Linked DNA regions of Drosophila melanogaster. The gene in region 1 interacts genetically with each later gene. Each region holds a gene or a part of one and is shown on either strand. Other genes may lie near its edges. The genes, in order: spn-D, Brca2, mei-W68 and spn-E.

What was found.
Region 2: of spn-D (region 1) and Brca2, changing one suppresses a phenotype caused by changing the other (phenotypic suppression), as found in Drosophila melanogaster (one study listed by BioGRID).
Region 3: of spn-D (region 1) and mei-W68, changing one suppresses a phenotype caused by changing the other (phenotypic suppression), as found in Drosophila melanogaster (one study listed by BioGRID).
Region 4: of spn-D (region 1) and spn-E, changing one enhances a phenotype caused by changing the other (phenotypic enhancement), as found in Drosophila melanogaster (one study listed by BioGRID).

What each region holds. Positions count from the first base shown.
Region 1 is NT_033777.3:27,164,169-27,167,653, forward strand, and holds spn-D (spindle D), read left to right. Parts: upstream 1-1,547; 5' UTR 1,548-1,635; coding exon 1,636-1,655; intron 1,656-1,712; coding exon 1,713-1,934; intron 1,935-1,991; coding exon 1,992-2,098; intron 2,099-2,154; coding exon 2,155-2,312; intron 2,313-2,467; coding exon 2,468-2,596; intron 2,597-2,652; coding exon 2,653-2,829; 3' UTR 2,830-2,954; downstream 2,955-3,485. Other genes in the region: ppk31 (pickpocket 31), read left to right, coding at 1-282, 338-544, 638-744, 800-963; CG34293 (uncharacterized protein), read right to left, coding at 1,045-1,202, 1,264-1,360.
Region 2 is NT_033778.4:24,524,222-24,530,109, reverse strand, and holds Brca2 (BRCA2, DNA repair associated), read right to left. Parts: upstream 3,939-5,888; 5' UTR 3,810-3,938; coding exon 3,065-3,809; intron 3,005-3,064; coding exon 2,933-3,004; intron 2,874-2,932; coding exon 775-2,873; 3' UTR 557-774; downstream 1-556. Other genes in the region: CG4612 (uncharacterized protein), read left to right, coding at 4,638-5,336, 5,568-5,792. UniProt on the Drosophila melanogaster protein: Involved in and required for double-strand break repair by meiotic and mitotic homologous recombination. During meiosis, has a dual role in the repair of meiotic double-stranded breaks and the efficient activation of the meiotic recombination checkpoint.
Region 3 is NT_033778.4:19,454,641-19,460,040, reverse strand, and holds mei-W68 (meiotic W68), read right to left. Parts: upstream 3,872-5,400; 5' UTR 3,066-3,871; intron 2,070-3,065; 5' UTR 1,990-2,069; coding exon 1,623-1,989; intron 1,565-1,622; coding exon 936-1,564; 3' UTR 518-935; downstream 1-517. Other genes in the region: CG7744 (uncharacterized protein), read right to left, coding at 4,871-5,400. UniProt on the Drosophila melanogaster protein: Required for meiotic recombination. Together with mei-P22, mediates DNA cleavage that forms the double-strand breaks (DSB) that initiate meiotic recombination.
Region 4 is NT_033777.3:15,835,585-15,843,427, reverse strand, and holds the start of spn-E (spindle E), read right to left. Parts: upstream 6,010-7,843; 5' UTR 5,946-6,009; coding exon 5,748-5,945; intron 5,691-5,747; coding exon 5,448-5,690; intron 5,283-5,447; exon of another isoform or gene 5,108-5,282; coding exon of another isoform or gene 4,016-5,107; exon of another isoform or gene 3,913-4,015; intron 3,730-3,912; coding exon 2,996-3,729; intron 2,899-2,995; coding exon 2,246-2,898; intron 2,157-2,245; coding exon 2,023-2,156; intron 1,972-2,022; coding exon 1,382-1,971; intron 1,326-1,381; coding exon 1,178-1,325; intron 1,111-1,177; coding exon 1-1,110. Other genes in the region: Pbp45 (PSEA-binding protein 45kD), read left to right, coding at 4,016-5,107; ND-23 (NADH dehydrogenase (ubiquinone) 23 kDa subunit), read left to right, coding at 6,399-6,438, 6,622-7,073, 7,142-7,303. UniProt on the Drosophila melanogaster protein: Probable ATP-binding RNA helicase which plays a central role during spermatogenesis and oogenesis by repressing transposable elements and preventing their mobilization, which is essential for the germline integrity.

The DNA.
Region 1 (3,485 bases):
GACGGGACCGGGACATCTAAGCTTTCATGCCGCCGCCGACATTCAGCTGTACGTTCATGCACCAATCGATGTGCCCTACCAGTTCTCCGAGGGCATGATACGGGAAACGGTGCTGCTGGGCCACTACAAGGAGCTGATCTTGAACGTGATCGAGGTGCACAACGACGAGAGTGTTCAGGACCTAAGCATGGAGCAGCGGCGATGTCGCTATGGCCATGAGCATGTGCCGGAGCGACAGGGAATCTACGACTTCTACAGCTACTCCGGCTGCGTGGTGGAGTGGTAATACTTAATAAAGTTAATATAATTAATTCATAGATTTATGTATAATCCTTAGTACTGTGCTACTTCAACTGGACAACTGCAACTGCACCAGTCACTTTATGGCCATTCCCGGCCAGAATTATCTGCCCGTTTGTGACGTTCGGGGCCTGATCTGCCTGACCCGGATCCGCGACAAGATCATGACGGAGCGCAAGTCCTGCGAGTGCATGAGCTCCTGCGAGGAGCCGGAGTACAACATAATATACAACTCGGCTGATGAGTAAGCACATTAGGATGTTTCATTTGCACAATTTAACATTGAGAGTTGAAATAAGTAAATGGGCTACTTAAAAATGTATCTTTTAACTTTAAGGGATGATGAAGCCTCAGATGAAGTGTCCGAAATCCGCGTGGCCTTGGTTGAACTGCCAACACAACGATACGTTCGTCGCGTAACCAAGACTATACTGGACTTCTTGAGTAAGCTACGCTATCCATATATATAATAGTTTCGAATTCAATTCCGCCTTTTCAGTTTCCCTTGGAGGACTGGTTGGCCTGTTCTTCAACACATCCGCCTTGCGAATAGTGGAGACCATTGTTATCTGTCTGCGGTACAGAAAAACGATTGTGAAGTGGGTTAAGCGGTTTTTTCTTGGCACAGTTCAATATTTACAGATCTTGGACCAGTCGACGTAAATCACAATAATATTATAAGCTTTAAATCATAGTTGTCTTTCTATAGGGAGTATGCACTTGTACGAAGTTGGTAGTAGGAGCTCAGCTCCGTGCGATCTTTTGTGCCACATAGGCTGCGCTATCCGGGGAATTGTGCCAGTTGGGCGGCGTTACAAATTGCATTAGGGTTTGCATGTAGTTGGGAAGATACATGAAGCTGGAGAAGAGCACCAGGAGCAGCATCACCAGAAAGAATCCATCTGATTGAGGGCAGATAATCCGGATTAGCAGTTGGCTTTGTCTCCCAATATCGATACTCACTGATCAGCTTCTTTTCCCAGGGCTCCAGCATGTTCACGCACGTCACCAGTTCGTACTGGCGGTAGGCGTGGCTGGCAAAGTGTTTTAAATTTAACATTTTCAATGACTAAAGTCCAATAAAATCGCGTCGCAGGAAATTAAGTTGTAAACAAAAACCATATGACATTTGGTGTAGCCAGACATTATGAAAATTCAATTGCTTGAAGTCGTATTTCTGTAGCAGCCAGCTCTTAAAAGTTAACTAACACAACACTGCAATGTTAAGTCTTAACAGTACTGTAAAATCATATGGCGCGATTGTTTTGATTATTTGCGATCCCATCTTTTGTTTTTTAAGAGTTTTAAAAAGGATTAAGCAGTCAGGAGTTTACAATGAATCATAGATTTGTTCGGTAGGTTCCATCAAATACAACACTTTTAGAATCCCTATAAACTTTGTGTCTTTCAAGGGTTTGGGAGCCATCGCAACCAGAAGCAATTGAAAGAAGACCATCTGTGTCCCATGAAAACTTTCGAATATTTGATAAATCCTGCTGGGACATTTCCCAAAGTGCCTCAAATAAGATCCTGACGGGCAAGAAAGCCCTGGACACTCACTTTGGAGGTGGAATATCCTTGGGTCACCTGGTTGAACTGATCGGCAATTCGGGCACCGGAAAGACGCAAATGTGGTACTTTATTAACTATTATTTCGTTATTAACTATAATTTACAAATGGTATATGATAGCTTGCAACTTTGCCTAAATGTACAAATTCCCAAGGCAGCTGGTGGATTGGAGGGCAGTGCATTATTTATAGACACCAGGCAGGATTTCCATCCTGACAGATTAATGGGTTAGTAGATGGAATAAACTATTTCTGTGGTATAACTAAACAAAGTTTATTTCTAGGCCTAGCTCTGAAACTGGAAAGGCAGTATGCACATAGAGTTCCAGAATTTAAGGCTCACAAAATGCTGCAGAAAATCCACTATGTGAGGTGCCCGAAACTGGATCAATTAATGGCCACTGTGCTCAGTTGCCACAGGCATCTCGTCGATCATCCCGATGTAATATTACATGTATTTATAATATCCCTTTCTTCGCTAATATAAAATGTTCTCATTGTACTTTGTCCTTTGTGGTGTTACCACAAAAATCCATACTTTTGCCAAACCAATTGAAAGACATTTCTGTAACTTTAAAAACGCAACTGTCTCCTTAGATTAAGCTGATTGTAATCGACTCCCTGGCTTTTACTCTGCGAATGCTTGAGGATGGCGCCCATCGTTACGAGATGCTTCTGGAACTGCATGAAAGCATGCGGAGATTGCAACGTCAACACGAATTGACCGTAAGTCCTCACAATCGATCAATTTCCTTTCCTTTTATAATCCCGTCCACCGGCAGTGGGTCTTCACCAATGTGCTCACGCATCGCTACGTCAAGCAAAAGTTCCAAGTGGAGCCCGCCTTGGGGGATCTGCATTCGCACTTGATCAACGAGCGCATCTGGTTTTCGGGCAGCTCTGAGCTTCACCTGGGCAAGTCGTGGCGAACGAGTAGATTAATTAAGGAATCCGAATGAGGCTACATCACTTTTACTTTGTGTCGAGTTTAAGCATTAGTTAAAAATAGGTACATGCGTATTAGGATTAAATATGCAATTATCAGATGATAATTTTTCTATAAAATAAAAATATGTTTAGCAAGAGATTAGAATCGAAGCATTAGCACAGGAAAGAGGAGCAACAGCAGCATTGGCAAACGGCATCCTCAACCACTTGCCATGATGCGGTGTGGCACAGAAAACGGATTCGCAACTAGCGCACACCCAGCCAGGTGCTGAGCACTTGCTAAAAGCTCTACCGGTCACCTCCACTCCACGAGGAGCCCGATGCCTATCGATGGCGCAGCTCCAGATTGACAGGCGAGCAACGCCTGATTTATGCGCGCGGCGCAGGAATGTGGCAAAGTGTAAAAAGTGTTTACACATACGAACGGCGACACCCAAACCAGACTGCCGATCTCTAGCCCGCGGCCTTTGATTATACACGGGAAAAAAGTAAAGTTTCATTGTATAGATGAATATTCAAATGATTCATTTGGTTATATTTCATGTCATTTATAATGTATATGTTTAACTTTTGCTGTGTACAATGCAATGCGCCACTTTTGGAAAAGTAAATCCAAATACTTGCATACATTATTTTTTTCCAGTGCACTCCGTAAGCGAACATGGAG
Region 2 (5,888 bases), on another chromosome or scaffold:
CGAGGAGTACAACACTCTGGAGGATCTGGCCAGGGCTCCCTACCCCAGTCTGCACGACGAGTACTACAGAAGTCAGATGAAGGCGAAAACCTTCCTGCCCGAACGGCTCCGCAGGAACAGCTTGAGCTTGAACGCCACCCTGCTAAAGGCGTACCGGGATGGGCTCAATCAGAGCTACATATACATATTGTACGAGGACCGCCTGGAGCTGATCCTGATGCAGCAGTACCTGCTGAAGACGCCGCGCTTCAACATGATTCGCCAGGCCGTGGGTTTTACCCTCGAATCCTACTGCGTGTCCAACAGTCTGCCGTACTTGGCGATGACCAGTGAGTTCATGAGGCGCCTGCAGGAGCACGGGATCAGCATCAAAATGAAGGCGGACACTTTCCGGGAGCTCATCCATCAGGGAATCTATACCTTGATGCGCGATGATGAGCCGCCGGCTAAGGCATTCGACCTGGACTACTACTTTTTCGCATTTGTTTTGTGAACTGTGGGACTGATTTCGTCTCTTCTCGTTTTTTTCGCGGAACTCGTAAGTGGGCACCTTTAAGGAAGTTGGTTAGCGGGTGGCCCTTATCGGATCGTTTATTTCCTTATAAGGTGCACTTAACAAAAAACGCTTATTATGATAACTTATACAATTATTCAATCTGTCATGATGAGACCACTAATGGCATACCTTAATTAATTCAACTAAATCTCTACCCATTTCAAATCGGCCAGCGGTTTAAATATTTTGGGTATAAAGCAACGCTTACTTAATGTGTACTAATAGCGACTTCGACTCAGACCAAGTCTTCGACTCTTTTTGGGTTGCATGCAAATAGGGGACATGTCCTCCGCATCCTGTCTATTCTTTGTACAGTCCTTGGAGCGATTTAAGTCCCTGTCGGCCAGCGGAGTACTTGTCGAGGAAGGCTTGGGAGCGAATCGCTCCATAGTGGGTAAGGCGCAGGAAGTGGAAGTTTCAGTTGACAAAATGATCTTTCGCTTTCTTTTTAGTGACAGGAGGTTCCGGCGAGCTATTACGGACTTCTTGGTGGCCTGGTCCAGTGGTGATTTGCCGGCAAGTTGCGATAGTGAGGAGTGGATCTCCTGCGACCTTCTGGGTGTCCTCACCAATGGCTGGCTACACAGCGGATGCTCTTCCTTTGCAGAATGCTCCACGAAGAAGTCGTGTTTGAAATGCTCAATATCTGAGGTATTTTTTAGACTTTGTACATTGCAAAAAGTTGGCTTGTTGGCACTGTCTTCTGCCGCCGCTTCATCTACGAACTTGGCATCAATATTTCTCGATTCCTCAGAGATCACAGTTGGTTGGTTCGAGTCAGTGCTTGCATCGGCGGCTTGAAATTCACTCATGAACTGTGCAACTTTGATTTTCGTATTTTCCGAAATCACAATTCCTTTATTTGAAGCGGTACGAAAGCCGAAGAATTCGGTCTCAGATACGGTTTTAGTATTCACAGCCTTATTATTTTCAACATTTATTGAATGAATCTCATTGTTTGGAGAGGTGGGTAGAACATCAGGAAAATCGCTTGGCTGCCACCCGTTTAATTGGTCTGTAGCTTTAGACTGGGCCAGAAACATGGCTCCTCTCTTCTCCATCGCCTCGGTAATCTCAATGGCTTTGTTTGACGCTGTTCTAAAGCCGAAAAACTGTGATTCATTTAAGTCACGGCAAACTGGGTCAAGTGTGGGTTGATGCGGTTCCCGCATTGTAGTATCAACGACCACCAACTTGGAAGCTTTCGATCGCATTTCCTCTGAACTCTCTATTGATCTTTTTAAGGCTGTATCAAGTCCAACAGACGTCGGTTTGTCATTTGGCTGATGGACTAAATAATCATTTTGTTGAATTGTTTCTTTGGATTGAAACTCAGCCATAAACTCTGCAGTTTTGATTTTCATCTTCTCAGAAATCGGAATTGCCTTATTTGAGGCTGTGCGAAAGCCACAAAACTCGGGCTCTGCTATAGTATCGTTATTGAGAGGACTGAATTTTCCATTTATTTCTCCAACGTCAACTTTAGCTATTGCATTGTAGGTTTCCTTACCATCCAATATTTCGATGGGCTTGCTTGGGGCTGATTTGAATTCCGCACACTGTGTTGATTCCATTACTTGACTATGATTATCGGAGTATTCCTCAGTACGTAAGTTGCACTTGTGACTAAAGTGATATAGGCCGGATACAACTTTGTCTACAAACTCTTCGCCTTTAATTTTCATTTCTTCCGAAACCTCGATAAATTTGAAGGACTTCTTTCGAATGCCATTAAGTTGATGACTGCTTATGGTCTGACTTTTATTAGGAGTCTGCTTTTCTGGTTGCTCCTTGTCGTCCAGATTTATTGAATTGATGTTTTCTTTAGGCCCTTGAATTGCGTTTTTGGAGGTTGATGGGCCATTAGAGCACTGCATTGGTTGCCAATCATTAAAAAGAAACTCCTCAAGAAGCTCGCCGTCGTTCAATAGGTTTTCTTGCTCTGCAGCATTAGGCTGATCCAGAATAGTAGTTCCTTCGTTTTTCGTGTTAATATCACAAGATTGTTTTGAGGCTCCTCTAACCTTTGATGCATTTGAATCTTTGCTACTTTTTTGTTCTTTCTGGGAACTTGGCTCCAACTTTAACTTTTTATCGGGTATATGTTTGATTACATCTTTGGAGATCTCGGGCAGTTCCATCGGAGTTAGCCATTCACTTAGTGGTATGCCTTCTAATATGAAGTTTGTGTTCTCCTCTATGTCAACATTTTTTGCTTGCGTTTGGCCCATCAAAAGTTTCTTATTTTCAGCAATTTCGACATCAGCTTTTTTCAATGTAGAGTCTGCATCAGACCAAACATTACGTTTTCCACTTTCTATAAATAAGGGTTTATATTAATGAACTTCGCAACAACATAAATTGCATATGAATTACCCAATCGGAGGCGCGTAGTGGGAACCGATTGCATGCTATCGCCATAAATAGTGTCTGCCATAGTTCCTGGACCTACGTACATATAAAAGGAGTTACAAATGTGTTTCTTGCCATATCGATCCCACTCCCTACCTTCCTGCTCATGCTCATTTTCATAGAAAGAGGCCTCAAATGTAAATCCGCTCTGCAACAGGTCATCCCTCAAGTTCTCCAATTCAGCGTTGAAACACTCGTCACCAGAATCCTGCCTTGCTTCGGTTGGCAGATCTATTTGCGATGGGACAGGAGTCGGACCGGAAGCTGTCGCGGTCGCGGAAAAGTATTGACTGAGGTTCAAAAGGACCTCGTGTATCTTCTGTGATGAAGCATCGAAATCACAAGCCATAGATGTGAACGAAGTATTGAGATCCCTCTGCACGGAGAGGCCTGAGGAACCTCTACGCTTCTCGTTTTGAACGGCCTTGTGGCTTTTGGGATCCCTCTTCCGGCTGTAGGTTCTGATCCTTTTGTTGCGAAATCGAAACCACGGCTCCGACTCATGGCTGGGCTCATCCTCATCCTCTGCGTATGTTGGAGACGAGCAAAAGTCGCTCATGATCATCTCGACCTGGTCCTCGGGCGTGGGCTCTGCGTAGGACAAAATAAGATCCTCCACGGCGACGAAGTCGCTGTTGTCCACCGCAAGCCGCTCGTGACCCCGAGTCCGTCGAGCGATGGCGAAAGTCTGGCGATCGGCTTCGCATATTTTGGCCATTTCGTCGATAATGTTACTCCGATTTGCCGCCGCGGAAACTGTGGCGCCACGTTCGCGCGCATGGGCTCCTCTTCCTTGGGATAGCCTGTTCGGATGACTTCCCGATGCGCCATTCTGGTCCATCACGTCATCTAATTGTTTAAATGTGTTTTATTTGAAGTAAGCAAGTGTCCAATGCTTTTGTGGTTGCATTTCCAAAACAAGGGGTGCAGTGTTGGTAAGCGTTGCTTTGATGGCCATTATCCGCTAACTGTGGAGGGTGGACTTGCTAAGCAATCGGGAGCGAGAAAGTCATCGATGGTATGGCCAAGAACATGAAGGCCTCACGTATCGATGGCAGATGCATCGATGTTTTTTAACATCACTAATCACTAGTAGCGACAGTTTTTGCATAAAATACAATTAAATAATAAAGGGCCATCGCCGAAGCTGCAAAAACCAGGTTTTACACTGCTGCAATTGCTGAAGAGTCTAGTTTAGGTGCCACTCGAAAACAATACCGGAAAGTGTTACGCGAAAGCCCAGCAGAGCCCCAAAGAATCAGCCCAAAAGTGAAAGCCCCCAGAAAAAGTAAAGTACAAAAGAGCGAAAGGAAGAGCCAGAGAGGTAAAGAAAGAGAGAGCGAAGAGCGTTGAAAAGAGTCTGTGCGAGAGAAAAACGATTTTTTCAACTCCGCGAATCCTTGGTCATATTCCGTGTGCAAATCCTGGTAAGTGGGCATTCCGCTGGATTACGACTAGATTGGCCATAACGCAGATTCCCGACATCCCAGGTAAATCGGGAAGTGAAGTGAAATACTAGGACCAGGACAAGAACGCCGTCAAGATTCTCGGGCCCATCTACAGCGGTATCCAGATCCAGAGCCACGGCCACCAGGACGCAGAATCCACCTACAGCACCTACAGCACTCCACTAGCCGCCACCACGCTCCACAAACAGCCAGCAGCCATTATGTTCGTCAACTCCATGACGTTCCGCGGCAATCCGGCGAACTACCACCAGCAGCAGCCGGCCCTGAACCACCACACGCTGGCAGCGGCGCACCACCAGCAGCAGCTGCACCACCACGCCGCTGCAGCTGGTCACCTGAGCCACGTCGGCGGTGGGCACGCAGCCAGTAACCACCTGGCGGCCGCCGCTGTTCTCGGACGGCATGGCCACAACTCCCTGGGCAGCGGGCACACGTCCACGTCCTCGCACTCGGCCAATGTGGGCGTGGGAGTCGGCGGGGGAGCTCTGGCTAGCGGCTCCACTGGGGGCAGCGGAGGCAACAGCTCTCCGGACAGTGGCAAGATCTATATCAAGAACCTGGAGCGGTCCATCGACAACAAGGCGGTGTACGACACGTTCTCGGTGTTCGGAAACATCCTAAACTGCAATGTGGCCAAAGACGAGGATGGCAATTCACGCGGCTATGGGTTTGTGCATTTCGATTCGGAGGAGGCCGCCCGAGCGGCCATCGAGAAGGTGAATGGGATGCTGTGCAATAATCAGAAGGTGCATGTGGTCAAGTTCATACCACGGCGGGACCGGGAGCAGGAGAAGGCCACGCACTTCAAGAATCTGTATGTGAAGAACCTCAGCGAGGAGTTCACCGAGCAGCATTTGCGCGAGATGTTCGAGCCCTACGGCCGCATCACCAGTCACAAGGTACGTTGTTTGGTCACCTCATCTTCCCTACGGGGATGTTCGTGGGGCCGGGTGGTTGGACGACAACCATGTGGCACAGTTTTGCACTCTCTTAAGTCCTCTCTTGCGCCATTGCTGCGCATGCCCATGTAGCCACGAGGAGTTTGTGACGGCGGGGAAGATGAGGACTCCACCTGGCCCATCTGTGCTAATTTGTTTATATCATCGATTTGCTTTCTCCGATCCTTGCAGCTCATGCTGGACGAGGAGGGGCGCTCCCGGCGTTTCGGTTTCGTCGCCTACGAGAACCCACAGTCGGCGCTGGCCGCCGTAATTGGCCTGCACGGCAAGCAGCTGGGCGACAACAAGTTCTTGTACGTGGCAAGAGCCCTCAGCAAGGCCGAGCGGCAGCAGGAGATCAATCGCAAGCTGGAGGAGCGCAAGCGGCAGAAGGCCGGCCAGATATTCTACTACTAAGGCTTCGGCGGCGGCAGCTGATCCAAGGACATCGCTAGGAGTTGACTTGGAACCCACACACATACAATACACACCCATATATAAACCTATATAGAT
Region 3 (5,400 bases), on another chromosome or scaffold:
TACTGGCGCCGCCGGTGCTGCTACATTGGATGCTGTGCCATTGGACACGCTATCCGCTGGCAGGGCCTCAGGAACTGACTGCAGTGTGGTGCGCATTGCTGTCGACATATTTTTAAACAGTCCAATAGGGATTCTTAGAGATTCTGCACGTGAGATTCGAGTATTTTCGGGAGTCTTTCAGGTTTCGGTGCTTAAAAGTAGTCAAATGCCCAATGGGTTTCTATCATCCGTGGTACTCCTTCACATCTGCAAGAAATAAATGCACGCAATTAGTATGGATCTAAACAAAGCAGACTACTTGTATCTTTCGGCACCTATAATATGACTGGCCATTCACTTGCCATTATCAAAAACGTAGCCAATTACCGGCTCCGATTACCGACCTCAAGCCATAACACTTTAGAGGCACAATAAAAAAAATAATCTCCTTTGTCTGCTTGAGTTTACTGGCTTCGTCCACACAAAGTAATGCAGAAAATCAAGTTGACCACTCAATACGAAACACTAGAAGCAGATTACTCAGACATTACGAGTGTAAATTACTATTATCCGTTATCCAAATATTAAAATTATGTTTTCTAAAGGCAAGGATCTTAAGGTACTTTAATATTAATTAGTCGTAATATTATATTGACGTTATTAAAGCTGCATTGAAATTAAACATTACATTTTATAACATAAGCAACAAAATCGGAATCCCAATGAATGGGGAATTTAATTATTAAATTACTATCTTAATTAATTCAAATATTAATGGAAAGCTGATTACGCGAACTAACTTTTACAGTACTATTTTTAGGAGTCTTATGGTATCTTTATAGAGATACGTTTTTTACAAACTAATTACTATATTACTATACCTACAACATATTTTAAACTAACTAATAATATTTCAAGAGTAATAATATTTGGCTTATGGGGTTTACCACTGAACTCTACAAAAACAAGTTCCGATTGATTTTATTTGGTATATAGTCGTCGGTCAGGAAGTCGATGACACTCTCGATTTCGGCCTTCAGCTGAACGTCCTGCAGCATGCGCAGTTCCTGCCGCACTCCCGGCTCCAAATCGTGGCGGGCGAGGAGGTCATTGATTTTCTTGTTGTCGCCGGCAACCAGGGCAACCGCTCCAGTGCCGAGTGCGGGAATCTCCGAGGGGTGTAGACCAATCCAACGCAGCGCAGGTGTGGTTAGTCCTTGGCTGGAAAAACTCATGGACTTCGAGCCATGGCGATAGACTAGCATTATCTCGACGCCAAATGGATCGGCGTCAACGAGAATGTAGGCCGCCAGTTGGTTCTCCTCGGTGAGCCGATGGACAATCCTCCGGGTACAGCAATCGGGGTATCCTTTTCCAGTTATAAGGATGAAGCGTCGTTCAAAAGTACCAAATACATTTCTGGATAAGAGACTCTCAAAAACCGACTCCTTTTCAACGATTAGCACAAATTCCGCCAGCGTTTCGATTCGATCTATCTTCTCGGGATCCGTGGGCAATGTCAGAGGTCCACCATACAAGCTGCTGTCCAGAACGTCTCCGTTGGTCATCAGCAGCCTTAAGTCGCCTGCAAGAGTAACCGGATGAGCAGGGAGCCTTTGATCAGGATTTCGAGATAAACTCACCTGCCACCAGGCCCTTGGAGGCGGCCAGTATGCCCAAGCTTAGGGGGGATGTCCTCAGCATACGACAGACATCTAGCCTGGCTTCGGCAATCCTGGACTGCGACCGGACTAGCAGAGGATTGTCATAGTATAGTCCACGGACGGTGAAACTTCCTCCGCGGACTTGCAATCGGTGCACCCGGGAGAGCATGTAAATCAGCACGCAAAAGCTATGGCGACTTCCGCGATTATTATAGCTGACTCGTCGATATTCCGAGATCACGTTTCCGGATGAATTTCGGGGAACACTAAGAGTGGCATTGCCATGAACCAAGTTGCTCAGCAACTCGAGGGCAATTCTTTCTATATTCTCCGAAAATTCATCCATTGTTCTAGCAATTTACTTATATTAGGAACGGATTCTTAACAACAAATATGTACGTCTTCTTGATTTCGTACTCTTGCAATCTACAAAATGAGGTTTTTTAATATCCAAATTAAGAGAAATTAATAATAAATATAATTTTACTTGTGAATAACAGATTTAAACTTAATTAAGCGGCATATATTTTAACAAGAACTTGGTTACTAACGCTTAAATTTTAAACAATTACATTTTTGAATTCCTCCAACTTTATGTATCCTTGCTCCCAATTTCCATTAGTTCTAAATTCGCATGAATTCTTCTGTTTATGTTCAATGATTTGAAACATTCTCTAGAATACAAAGTGTAAGCACTTTTTTGGTCTAATTTAATTGCATGGGTGGTGCCACGCCCCCGGGATTTTCTTGTTGGTTCTTTGAATGCCTTTGTCACAAGCGGAAACCCCGCAGGAAAATGAGTGAAAACTGTGGGCTAAAACGTTGAAACACGCCCACCGACCTACGCACAGTAATATTTCATAAATACGTAAGCAATTCGTGGACTTACATACTATACGAAAATCAAGTGGTCTTTGCACTTACTTATATCTGATTTTGTAAAAGTTTATCGCGTAAATCGTTGCGTGGAAACATTTCGAGGGGGGTTATAAATAATTTCCGAAAGGAGCTTGCTGGCTAAAAATATACCATCGAAATGAAAATTCCCTTTCGGTGAAAACAACTGTTTTTTAAAAATTTAAGCACGCACACTAGTTGCAAATGAAGAGAGCGCGAGGGAGAGTGCCATAAGTTTATGTGAATTTCTTTATTCGGTCTTTCATTTTTTCTTCTTATTTTATTATTCTTTTTTCCTTCTTTTTCGTATGTGCAGAAAAGTGTACTCGTTATTACAAAGCACACATACACCGAGTGTGGGCGGGCGGGGGGTTTTCGCTCTCTTTTGGGGAAGAGAAAGAGAGAGACTGACGGAAAAGAGAGAGCGCCAACGAATGGGCTAGGAAAACTGACGAACGGAACGAAACGGAATGGCAGCCCAAGTATTGATTTGCTGGTTATGGTGCTGCCACTTCTTGTACTTACCAATGAAATACAATTTCCGATTGGCCCAAGAAAAGCTAAAGCTGAAAAGCTATTAGCTCTCTCGCTCAGAGAGGAGTCGCTAGCTGATGGTCGCTGCTGTTGTTGTTGTTGTTGCCATCGATGTAACGCATATTATTATTTAATTTCTTTCGATTTTCCCAGTTCCTTTTCCGATTCCGTTTACCCGAAAGTGGTTAGGTTTGGAAAGGCTCTGCTTTTTACCGACTTTTACCGAACGAAAACGACGACACACACAACGAAATGCAAATGCAATACATAGCTTTCTCACTCGCTCACTAGCTACCTCTCGACCGCTCTCACTCGCACAGCAGCAGTAGCAGCAGCTCTTTGGTTTTCAATCAGATTTTTCTTTCTTATATTTTCTTATCGCGATGGTTTTTTCTTTCGCTTTTTTTTTAAGAAGAACGGTCACCGATTTTTCACAAGGATTACGAACGCACCCCCACTGCTCTCCCCAGTCACTGAAAAGCCACAATAATAACAACAACAACGACAGTCTTGTTGGCAACAAATGGAAATATTCGCTATATGCTCTGCGCTGCTCTGCCCTTCGCAAAACTAATGTGTATCCGCGATGGGTAATGGGTAACTTGATATTGATACGATTACTAATATTATTGATAGCCGATTAGCCGACATAAGCGGTGGCCGCAATTGGCAAACGACGATTGTCCCGCTCCCGCAACGCAGTTAAATATTACTATTTTCCTCCGTCCACATCCACTTTGGCAGCAACAAAAGTATGTACGTCTCGGTCTCTCAAAAAAATTCACATTACGATACGGCAGCCATATTGTAGCAGTGTTGCCAGCTGGACGGTATTCAAAAATACTAAACTTTTTCTCCTGTTACTACTTATATACTAAATATACAGCAAGCTGTCATCTAAAAACCGCGCCCACAGACTGATTGATTAATGTGTAATTTGAAATAACCAGCTAAATTTTACATTCGAGAATGGTTAGAGGCTACACAACCTTATATACATAATTGTTTATTAAGATAATTTAAATTCATAATATATTTGTTCAATATTAACAACAACATAAACAACATACTTTCAGGGGCAAATGTATGAATTTTTGAAGTGCCGTGCCGACTTTGGAAACGGCCACTTTGATTTCTACACCGCGCCGTTAACCAACTGGCAGCACTGCACTAAGAGAGCGTGTTCTGAAATCTAAGAGAACAATATAACATTTTTTAAAAGAGAAAAACAACCAAAAAGACAGGTCACTGTTATTATTGAATTTAACTTGATAATGAATATTTTCTTATAACTGCACTTAACTTAACAAAATAATAACCATTTTTTTGTTTTGCTTTTATTTCAAAAAATATGTATTTGTATAATAAACAATTTATCTAGTTTATGTGAGTCACAAAAGTTTAGTTAACGATAAAAACAAACTTTGAATGATTGTCTTCAATGAATAAATAACTTAGTTACCAAAGCTTTATTCTCCCTTTAAAATCAAGTAGTATTTATATTACCTTCTAATCTTACTCCCTGACTTTCAATTCCCTGAAAAGTTCTATATTGAAAACCACGAAACTTAGAGCTACACAGATTAAAGAATGTCTAGCTAAACACTACTTATTTAGTCGATTATAAGTAAAGGGAGGACTAACCTTTAGTAGAATAAAGAAGCTTAAAAACTGTAAGTCAAAAATAAATTATTTGATAATTAAGTTAAGTCAAATTTATATAATTTCCCAACTGGCGGTGATCTTTTCCAGAATTTTTTCTAAGTTTTTCTAGATATTTATGACCTCACATCACATTAGTGTATTGGCTGTGAGGATTTTGAGTTAATCTCAATCCACTTCCTAAGTAAATCCCCCGGCTGCATAGTTGGCTGTTGCTGCGGAAGAGCAGTCCTCGAGTATTGATATTCACTAGGCGTTATTGTGGGTGTAGGTGACGGCATTGGCGGAAAAACTGCGAAATTTCGCTGACTCTCACGGGCTTCGGACCAGCCGTAGTCCCTTACAGTTGCAGCACCTGTTCCGCATTGGGCTTCTGGACGTGGCTGCGACTCAAATCCAGAAGATTGTGACGAAGTGCGGGAAAGTTGATTCTGCTGTTTCTCTTCGTAATGTCTCATTAGATTGGCAGTGCATAGATCTTGGTTCACACTTTGATTGGCCGCCACCCAGGCGCTTACATCAGCTCCGCCGACGTTCCTGTTTATGGACGGCAAACGCGATGGCATCAAAAGATTTTGCGTGGATCTAGTGAAAGTATTGCCTTGGGCCAGGTTACTTTGTCCATGGCGATACCATTGGGACTCTAATGGTCTCATGGGTTTCT
Region 4 (7,843 bases), about 11 Mb from region 1:
GACATCCAGATTAATCAACACGTCATGCTCTGCGAAGTAGGGCTCGTTTGTGTCCGGGTCACAACCCAATCCTCCCAGAACAGAGACATATGATGTGCCTTCTTTATTGCATTTAAGTTGCATAGTGGGACTAAATAGCATAACCATTAGAGCACCGAATCCCTGCACATTGGGCATCAGGGTGGTTCCACGGGCTGTCAGTGTCTGCCCGTTTCTACTCTCCGCGATTTCGTGGGCCACTATCAAATGATCGTGGTGATCTTGAGGATCAGCATCCAGGAGAAGTGCATTAACGGACAAATGGTCTATATTCACCCGTTTACTTAAGCCCACACGAGTAATGGATCGCATAGTACATTCCAAAGGACTGTTGGGTCCTTTCAACATTACAACGGTCTTGCACTTTTCCAGCGGAGGCGGTGGTAGATCGTGGTCTTGCGGCAGCTGACAGGATCGCAGATATTCCTCATTGATCTGTTGACGCTGCGCCGTGCTCAAGTTCCGGGCAGATTCTTGACGTCGCAAACGGAAATCATGATCTTTTCTAGACATATAATCTTCGTCGGATCGACGGCACAACATAAGCTCTACTAGCTTATCGTTGATTATGCCATCTCTCATATGAATGAGAACAGCTGCTACATTATTGAAAAGCGAATACACCTCAATATCGATTAGACCGCATTGGGCCACTGTCTTGAGCATATCATTAGCCGCGGTGGACCACCTATTGTTTCCACTGACCACTGAAGAGGGCTGAACCATTGCCAGCCTGCACTCAAAAACACGTGGCGGAAGGTCGCCGTACTGTTCAGTTAGCTCTCTCGGCATCAAACGCATTAGCTGCATGGGCAGCAAAGTGCAATTACCATAGTCGATGAAGCGAACGTAGAACATTGGTTGGCGATTGCTCTGATTCTCTGGCCGGATCACTGTGGCGCGCTGGAAATAACTATCGCGTTTGGCCAACACCATCATGCCCTTTGCGATGGCACTCGCGTTAGTTACGTAATTTCTTAGTTGCTGTGGAGCATTGAAAATTTCAGACATATTTCGAATGCACTCTTCAAAAGATTGGGGTTGAAAAAAGAACTTGCCACAGTTGACGATCTGTAAGATAGGAAAAATAAAAAAAATACTTTGAAATTCTCTAGATTTGTGTGGTGCAGCAGCTTACGCAAGTAATCGACCCTGAAATAGTTTTGTCAAAGACAGATGGCAGCGCAAGAAGCTCGACGTTTAAAGGCTTTGTGGGTGGAATCCAACGGCCCTCAATCACATCTCCAATCCCTCGCTGCTGTACGTAGCTCATAAATGCACTCGGACTGTAAATGATTAAACATAAGCTTCATAATCGATAGTAAAAGCCTTGATAACTCACTTCATTATGTGGATTGGCCGTTCGACACGATTTTGTCGCATCATAACTGCCTTGTACACCTCACTTTGAACTCTGCCCGACACAGGAACATACTTAGATGAACCTTCAATCCAGTCATCCTGTTTGAAAGTGACAAAGACCTTTTGCGAACCCTCTTGAAAAGTAACGTCCATGTTTTCCGGCGGAATCCTGACCTCCTGAAATAGCTCCTTAATGCGCCTAGTGTACAACTCGCCCATGTAGGCAGGCTTAAAATTGGTAAAATATACGGTGCGGCAGGGATCGTGGCCCGATATTGTCTGGTATATATTGCGATCTGTGTCTGCACACGACTCTTTGGAACGCGTAAAGTAGTTTGGGTAGAAGGCACCTGCAATGATCACTTTGAGCATGATCGCTTTTTCACGATCGTCCATCATTTGGTTAGGATTAACAGGAAACGGAATCAGACCGAGATGCGTGCATCGCACACGCAGTTCCTGCACCAACAAGTGTATCTCCTTAAGTGACCGCAAGGAGACGTGGAAACGTTTGGCCCAACGGATAGCAGACTCCTGGTCGTGACCATTTTCCACAATGTTCAAATATGTCTGCCGAAGAAACAAGTTATTACGCTATTAGTAATGCATCGCATAACTTACCAGATACACGCGCCAAATGGCCACCAAGTCGGAGCCAGATCCATCGGAGAAGATATAGTGCATCCAAAATGAATCGCCTAATTGAGACCTACCACCTTCGTGCGCAAACAAGCCAGGCGTCGATAAGCCAGCAGCTACAACATATTTAAAAAAAAAATCATTAATGCAAGACAAAGAATATTCCCCCCGTTATCCTAAAGCTTAACTACTGTTGCCCGCTTACCTATAATAATAGCTTCTTCGAGCATGTTAAAAATATAACCCAATATGATAAGCCGGGACTGACGTGTGTCCAACGGCAGCCGAGACATGATTGTGCCCCAGTAGGTAAGATCGCCATCCAACGGGTCGTAGATGCCGTCTACTGTTAAGTACAGAGCACCCACCTCTTTCAGAAGCAATATTGTATTGTGTATGTCCGACAGATTCGGCGGAGATAGAGCCAATGCCAAGATTTCCACCGGTGATCCCATATTCAGCACTTTGGCCTTGAGCACCGAGTTTTGCAAGGGCAAGCGCAACATTTCTGGTATTCCAAACTCGGGCATTTCCCTCTGATAGAAGTGTTTATTAACCATACGGTAAACGCGTCCACTACGAAGACGACCAACGCGGCCGGCACGCTGACGACAATTGGCTTTGGACGCCCAGGTTAAGCGGAGCGAAGAGAAGCTGCTAGCCGTATCGGTTACCTTTACTTTGGCAAGACAAAAGTCAATAACGTATGAGACATCTGGCACCGTGATGGAGCTCTCAGCAATGTTTGTGGTCAGAATGATCTTGCGGAAACCGGGAGGCGGGGGATTGAAGACATCCCGTTGGTTTTCCGGTGTCATTAACGAAAAACAGCGAACAATAGAGACCTTAATGTTGGGGCTGCAATTAAACAATAAAGATTGGAAATTATAATGATACAATTTTAGCTACTTCAAAATTTGTACAGTGAGCAATTCTCACGGATAACAATGCTTACTCGTTTTCCAGCATACAAGTAAGATTTTCTGCCATCGTGTCGATTTCGTAGATGCCTGGCAGAAAGATGAGCACAGCTCCATAGCGCAGGGCCTCGTCATAGCTCTGCCGCGACTGGATTGCAGCCTTCCGTTCCATGTTGTCAATAATCACTATGATCTTTACCGCTGCCCTGTAACCGTGTTTGTTGATTTCTGGCACCTGCTGGTGTCCCACATCTTCCTCATTCCAAATAATGCTGCCGAGCTGGTCACGGTAGAACTTCTCGATCGAGTGCTTACGTCGATGATTGGTGGTGATCACTGGCGGAATTGAGTTAGTGGTGGTAAAGTAGTCGGACAGTTCCTTGGCATCGATGGTGGCCGACATCAGGATAATCTTTACATGCCGCGAGTTCGTGGCCAGCAAGCGACGCACCACGATCAGAAGAAAATCCATGTTCTGGTCTCTTTCATGCACCTCGTCCAGCACAATGTGGGTGTAGTGGGTCAACGTCTTGTTGTTAATCAAATTGTTCAGCAGCACCCCGGTGGTGCAGTACAACAGACGAGTGTCCTCCAAAGAGTTCGGGCGGTGCAGGCCCACCTGGAAGCTGCACACCGTGTTCTGCTGCCACTCGCGCTCCTGGCAAACTCTATTCGCTATGGAGATGGCAGCTATGCGCCGGGGTTGTGTCACCACAATGTTGCAGTATTTACCGCTTTTATAGGCCTCATCCAAAATGTATTGGGGCACCTGTAAGAATAATTGATTGAATACTAATAATAATTATAAGAAAATATCTAAATATTTACAAAGCAGAACAAAAATGTAATTGTATTTTTTACACATTTTTCAAACAGTTTTTATAGTTTTGCGCTTTTTTTTTGAAAATAGCTAAGCAGTTATGAACACTACATATTTATCGATGAACTCCCCGGCTAGTGTTGTAAAAGCTTATTCCCGGCGAATGTTATTGTTTATATTTTGAGGCTCTTTTGAATGAGAGATGCGCATATATTTCGCGTAATTAAGATTCAGAATGGAGCTGAATATCTTTGACGACTGCTGGGAGCTGGTGCAACGATTTCAGCGATTGGTTAATGATGGCGAAAACTGCGAGTTCGAGGTGTTCTGCCGGTGCTGGCGAGAACTGCAGCTGCAGCACCTCTTCACTGCCCAGACGAACCACACAGAGGTGATAGCCACCACACTGGCGGCCCTGCATGTGGCCAAGCGACTGTCGTGCTCCCGACGCACCACCGGGGACGTTTTCCCGGCATCTCGCGCTCAAAGGATCGGAGGTTTCTTTCTGCTCTACGTAATCTACTACAAGCAGCCCACGCACAACTTTATTAAGATCGAGGTCTCACCGCGCACTTGGCAAGAACTAACAGACTACGCTCTAGATCTGCGCAAGGATAGTCCGGAGCGGAAGGACACTCATCAGATCGCCTACATGCTGTGGCGCCTGACCCAGGAGCAGGCCTTCCGCTTCACCGCGCTCGACTATTGCCAGGGGTTGGACAATCTGGTGGACTACGACCGTGTGGAGACCGTAGCGGGTGCCAAGGAACAGAGGCAGAGTGCCTTGATGCAGAAGCAACAGCGTGCGAACGGCGTCAGTCTCACATACGAACTGGAGGGTCTGCGAGCACTGGACCAGGCAAGCCAGCCATTGTGTGAACTGGAAGCGGCATACAATGCCCAAAAGAAGCAATTGGCGGCTGGTCATGAGCACGCTTTGCCGCCCTCTCAAATATTCGGCCATTTGCGAGAAGTCTTTGCCGATATCCAAAGTGTTCTAGGAGCTAGAAAGAGTACTCCAGATGAGAATTGTACCACAACATCTACAGGCAACCAGTTGGAAGTGCGCCAGAGGGTGCGGAACAAGGCCATGTACGGCGTCGAGGAACGGGAGCCGCAAAACCAGGCGGATGAACTAGAAGTGCAGCTGGAGGTCAACGAGACTTATCAACGCCGCATGTCCTCGGCCACCGTTTTTCAGAGGGAACTTCCAGCAGACGTGCAGCAAGAGTATGAGATGATTGAGTTTAGTGACGACGAGGAAATGGAAGTGGGTGAAAGCGAGGAGGTCACGGAAGAAGAACTCAAAGCTATTTTGGATACTTGAGTTAGTTTATAAAACTTTTACATAATTAAATAACTAGCATTTTTGCGCGATGTGATCTTGTTTATCTGTTGCACATAAAATATTCATTGTATTTAAGTATGTAGGATAGGATATATAACTATATAGGATATAAGTTTCCTAGGCTTTGCTATTCTTATATAAAGAGTTGAAAAGTATATTGAAGATTATTATTTATTATATAATATTAAATACTCTCGACTAGTTTGGATTTGAATTTCAAAAGTCGAGGATAAAAGGTTTAATTATAATTCGCTTGCGTTGGCTTTATTAAAATATAGACTTAATAAAAAAGTTAGGATTTTATTTAAGTTTTGCTCACCTGCGTGGTCTTGCCACATCCTGTTTCGCCCTTAATAATGACTACCGGATGAGCATTGATGGCCGCCAATATTTCCTCGCGCTTGGCGTAGATGGACAAGTTCTTGTCGCGATTCAGATTGAATCTGAACTTCTTGTAGTACTCGTCATCCCGGCGAATTTCGGTCTCTTCCCCCTCATCGTCGGTGTCCAAATCGTCCAGCGTTCGAATGCGTTTGCCTTGAGGCTGTTCGTTGAGCAGCGTCTGGATCGAATTACACATAAACAAACAGAAGTGCTGACGCAAGCTTCCAGTTCTCACCCCGTTCAGGAGACACTTTTCCTTGGCGACGATTTTGCTGACATAGTCGGTGCCGATCAACTCGCGGTTGGGCACTTCGGATGATTTGAACTTCGTGGCCATTAGCCTCGGATCGCTGCTGATGTAGCCTTGCGGGGCGGCGGCCACGCGCTTCAACTCCTTCGAGAAGTCAAAGAAATCCATAACCTCCTGATCCATTTTCCGACATAAACAATGAAAAATTTCACAATTCCGCGTAGCGGGAAAAGTTAAACTGTAAATTGTAGTGGTGGGGATTTTCAAAGTCAATGTTGAAAAGTGTAAAAGTGCGAATTTATATCGATAGTGCCATTATCGAAGCTTTAAGGTTTTTATTAGGGGTATTCGTATAAAAAAAATGTTTTCTTTTTTTTCTCACAGTCTTTCTGGATTATTTGTTAATATTATTTATTATTTTTACACGAATATTTAATTCTTTGTTACATTATTTATATTTTATATCTCATATTTTATTTTTGGTTTATGTCATTAAGAAACTACGATATATTTGAATACGATATTTGAGCATTGAATTTATGTGGGTAATCGAAAGAAACCCAGCTCTAATTTGTTCGGGCAAATTCAATAGCAAAACAACTTCTTTGGCAATTTTAGTTTAATTTGGTCGCAAAAATGTCGCTAACTATGCGAATTTTCACCGCATCGCGCAACGGTAGGTGGCGACCCATCCCCTCACATCCGTTGTTTTCCGGGAAATTTCCCATTTTCGTGGAAATCGCGGCGAGTGAGGTTATGTAAGCTTATGTCATACCAAAACAAAAGTCTAAACTCGCTTAATTCAGTATAACTTTTCGACTTAAGCATGTTATTTAATGGTAAAATGTTCTCCCCACAGGACAGCGCCTGTTTGGCAGCCATGGAGCCCGGCTGCTGGCCGCCCAGCGAGCAGAACCCAAAGATATCGTCGAGGTTCCCAAGGGCTATGTGTATGTAAACAACAAGGAACTGAGCATGGAGTTTGCCGACATCACGGACCGTGCTGCATCCACCATGTTCTTCGGTGAACTCTTACGTGGATTTGCCGTCACCCTGGCGCACATCTTCAAGGAACCGGCCACTATCAACTATCCCTTTGAAAAGGGACCACTGAGCCCGCGATTCCGCGGAGAACATGCCCTTCGTCGTTATCCCAGTGGAGAGGAGCGCTGCATCGCTTGCAAGCTATGCGAGGCTATTTGCCCCGCACAGGCGATCACCATCGAAGCGGAGGAGCGCGCGGATGGCAGCAGACGTACCACACGCTACGATATCGACATGACCAAGTGCATCTACTGCGGATTCTGTCAGGTGAGGAGGAGCAAAGTGGCGCCACAATTTACTAGAAACTAATTGCATCTTTTTGTCCCCCCGCGTAGGAAGCCTGTCCCGTGGACGCCATCGTCGAGGGACCCAACTTCGAGTTCTCCACGGAGACGCACGAGGAGCTGCTGTACAACAAGGAGAAGCTTCTCTGCAACGGCGACAAGTGGGAGTCCGAGATTGCCTCTAACTTGCAGGCCGACCATCTCTATCGTTAAAGTTGCTTGTACCCCTAGAATTCCTTGTTTAGAACGATTTTCCAATTAAAGATCGTTGCTGTGGCTTCGTCTTAAGCGAAAGTCAGTTGTATTTTTTTTAATTACTCAACTGGCCTAATAAATATAAATTATTTATATTCAAAGAGTTCCACGTTGTATTCGACAGATGACAAAGTTTATTTAATTAACAGGCCAATAGAAAGCATTTTTTCCAATGACGGAGCGACTACAAATAAATGAAACTTAGTTAATACTTTACTATTCCGATTTTGATTACACAAATTATAGGCAATAACTTCCATTTGCTGGTCAGTTATTAGAAACAGATATTATTTATGAAAGTTACTTGCAGTTTTATCCACGTTAATTTTGTAAAAAGAATTTACATAAATTAATTAAAACAGAAAGGCTTACAAATTCAAATAATTTATTTAGTGGTTAATGAATTTAATTAATTGTGACACGTTGGCAGTGATACTGCAAATTAGGACCACGCTGCGAGTAAAACTTAATTGAAGGGTATTTTTACCCGTCGTAGAA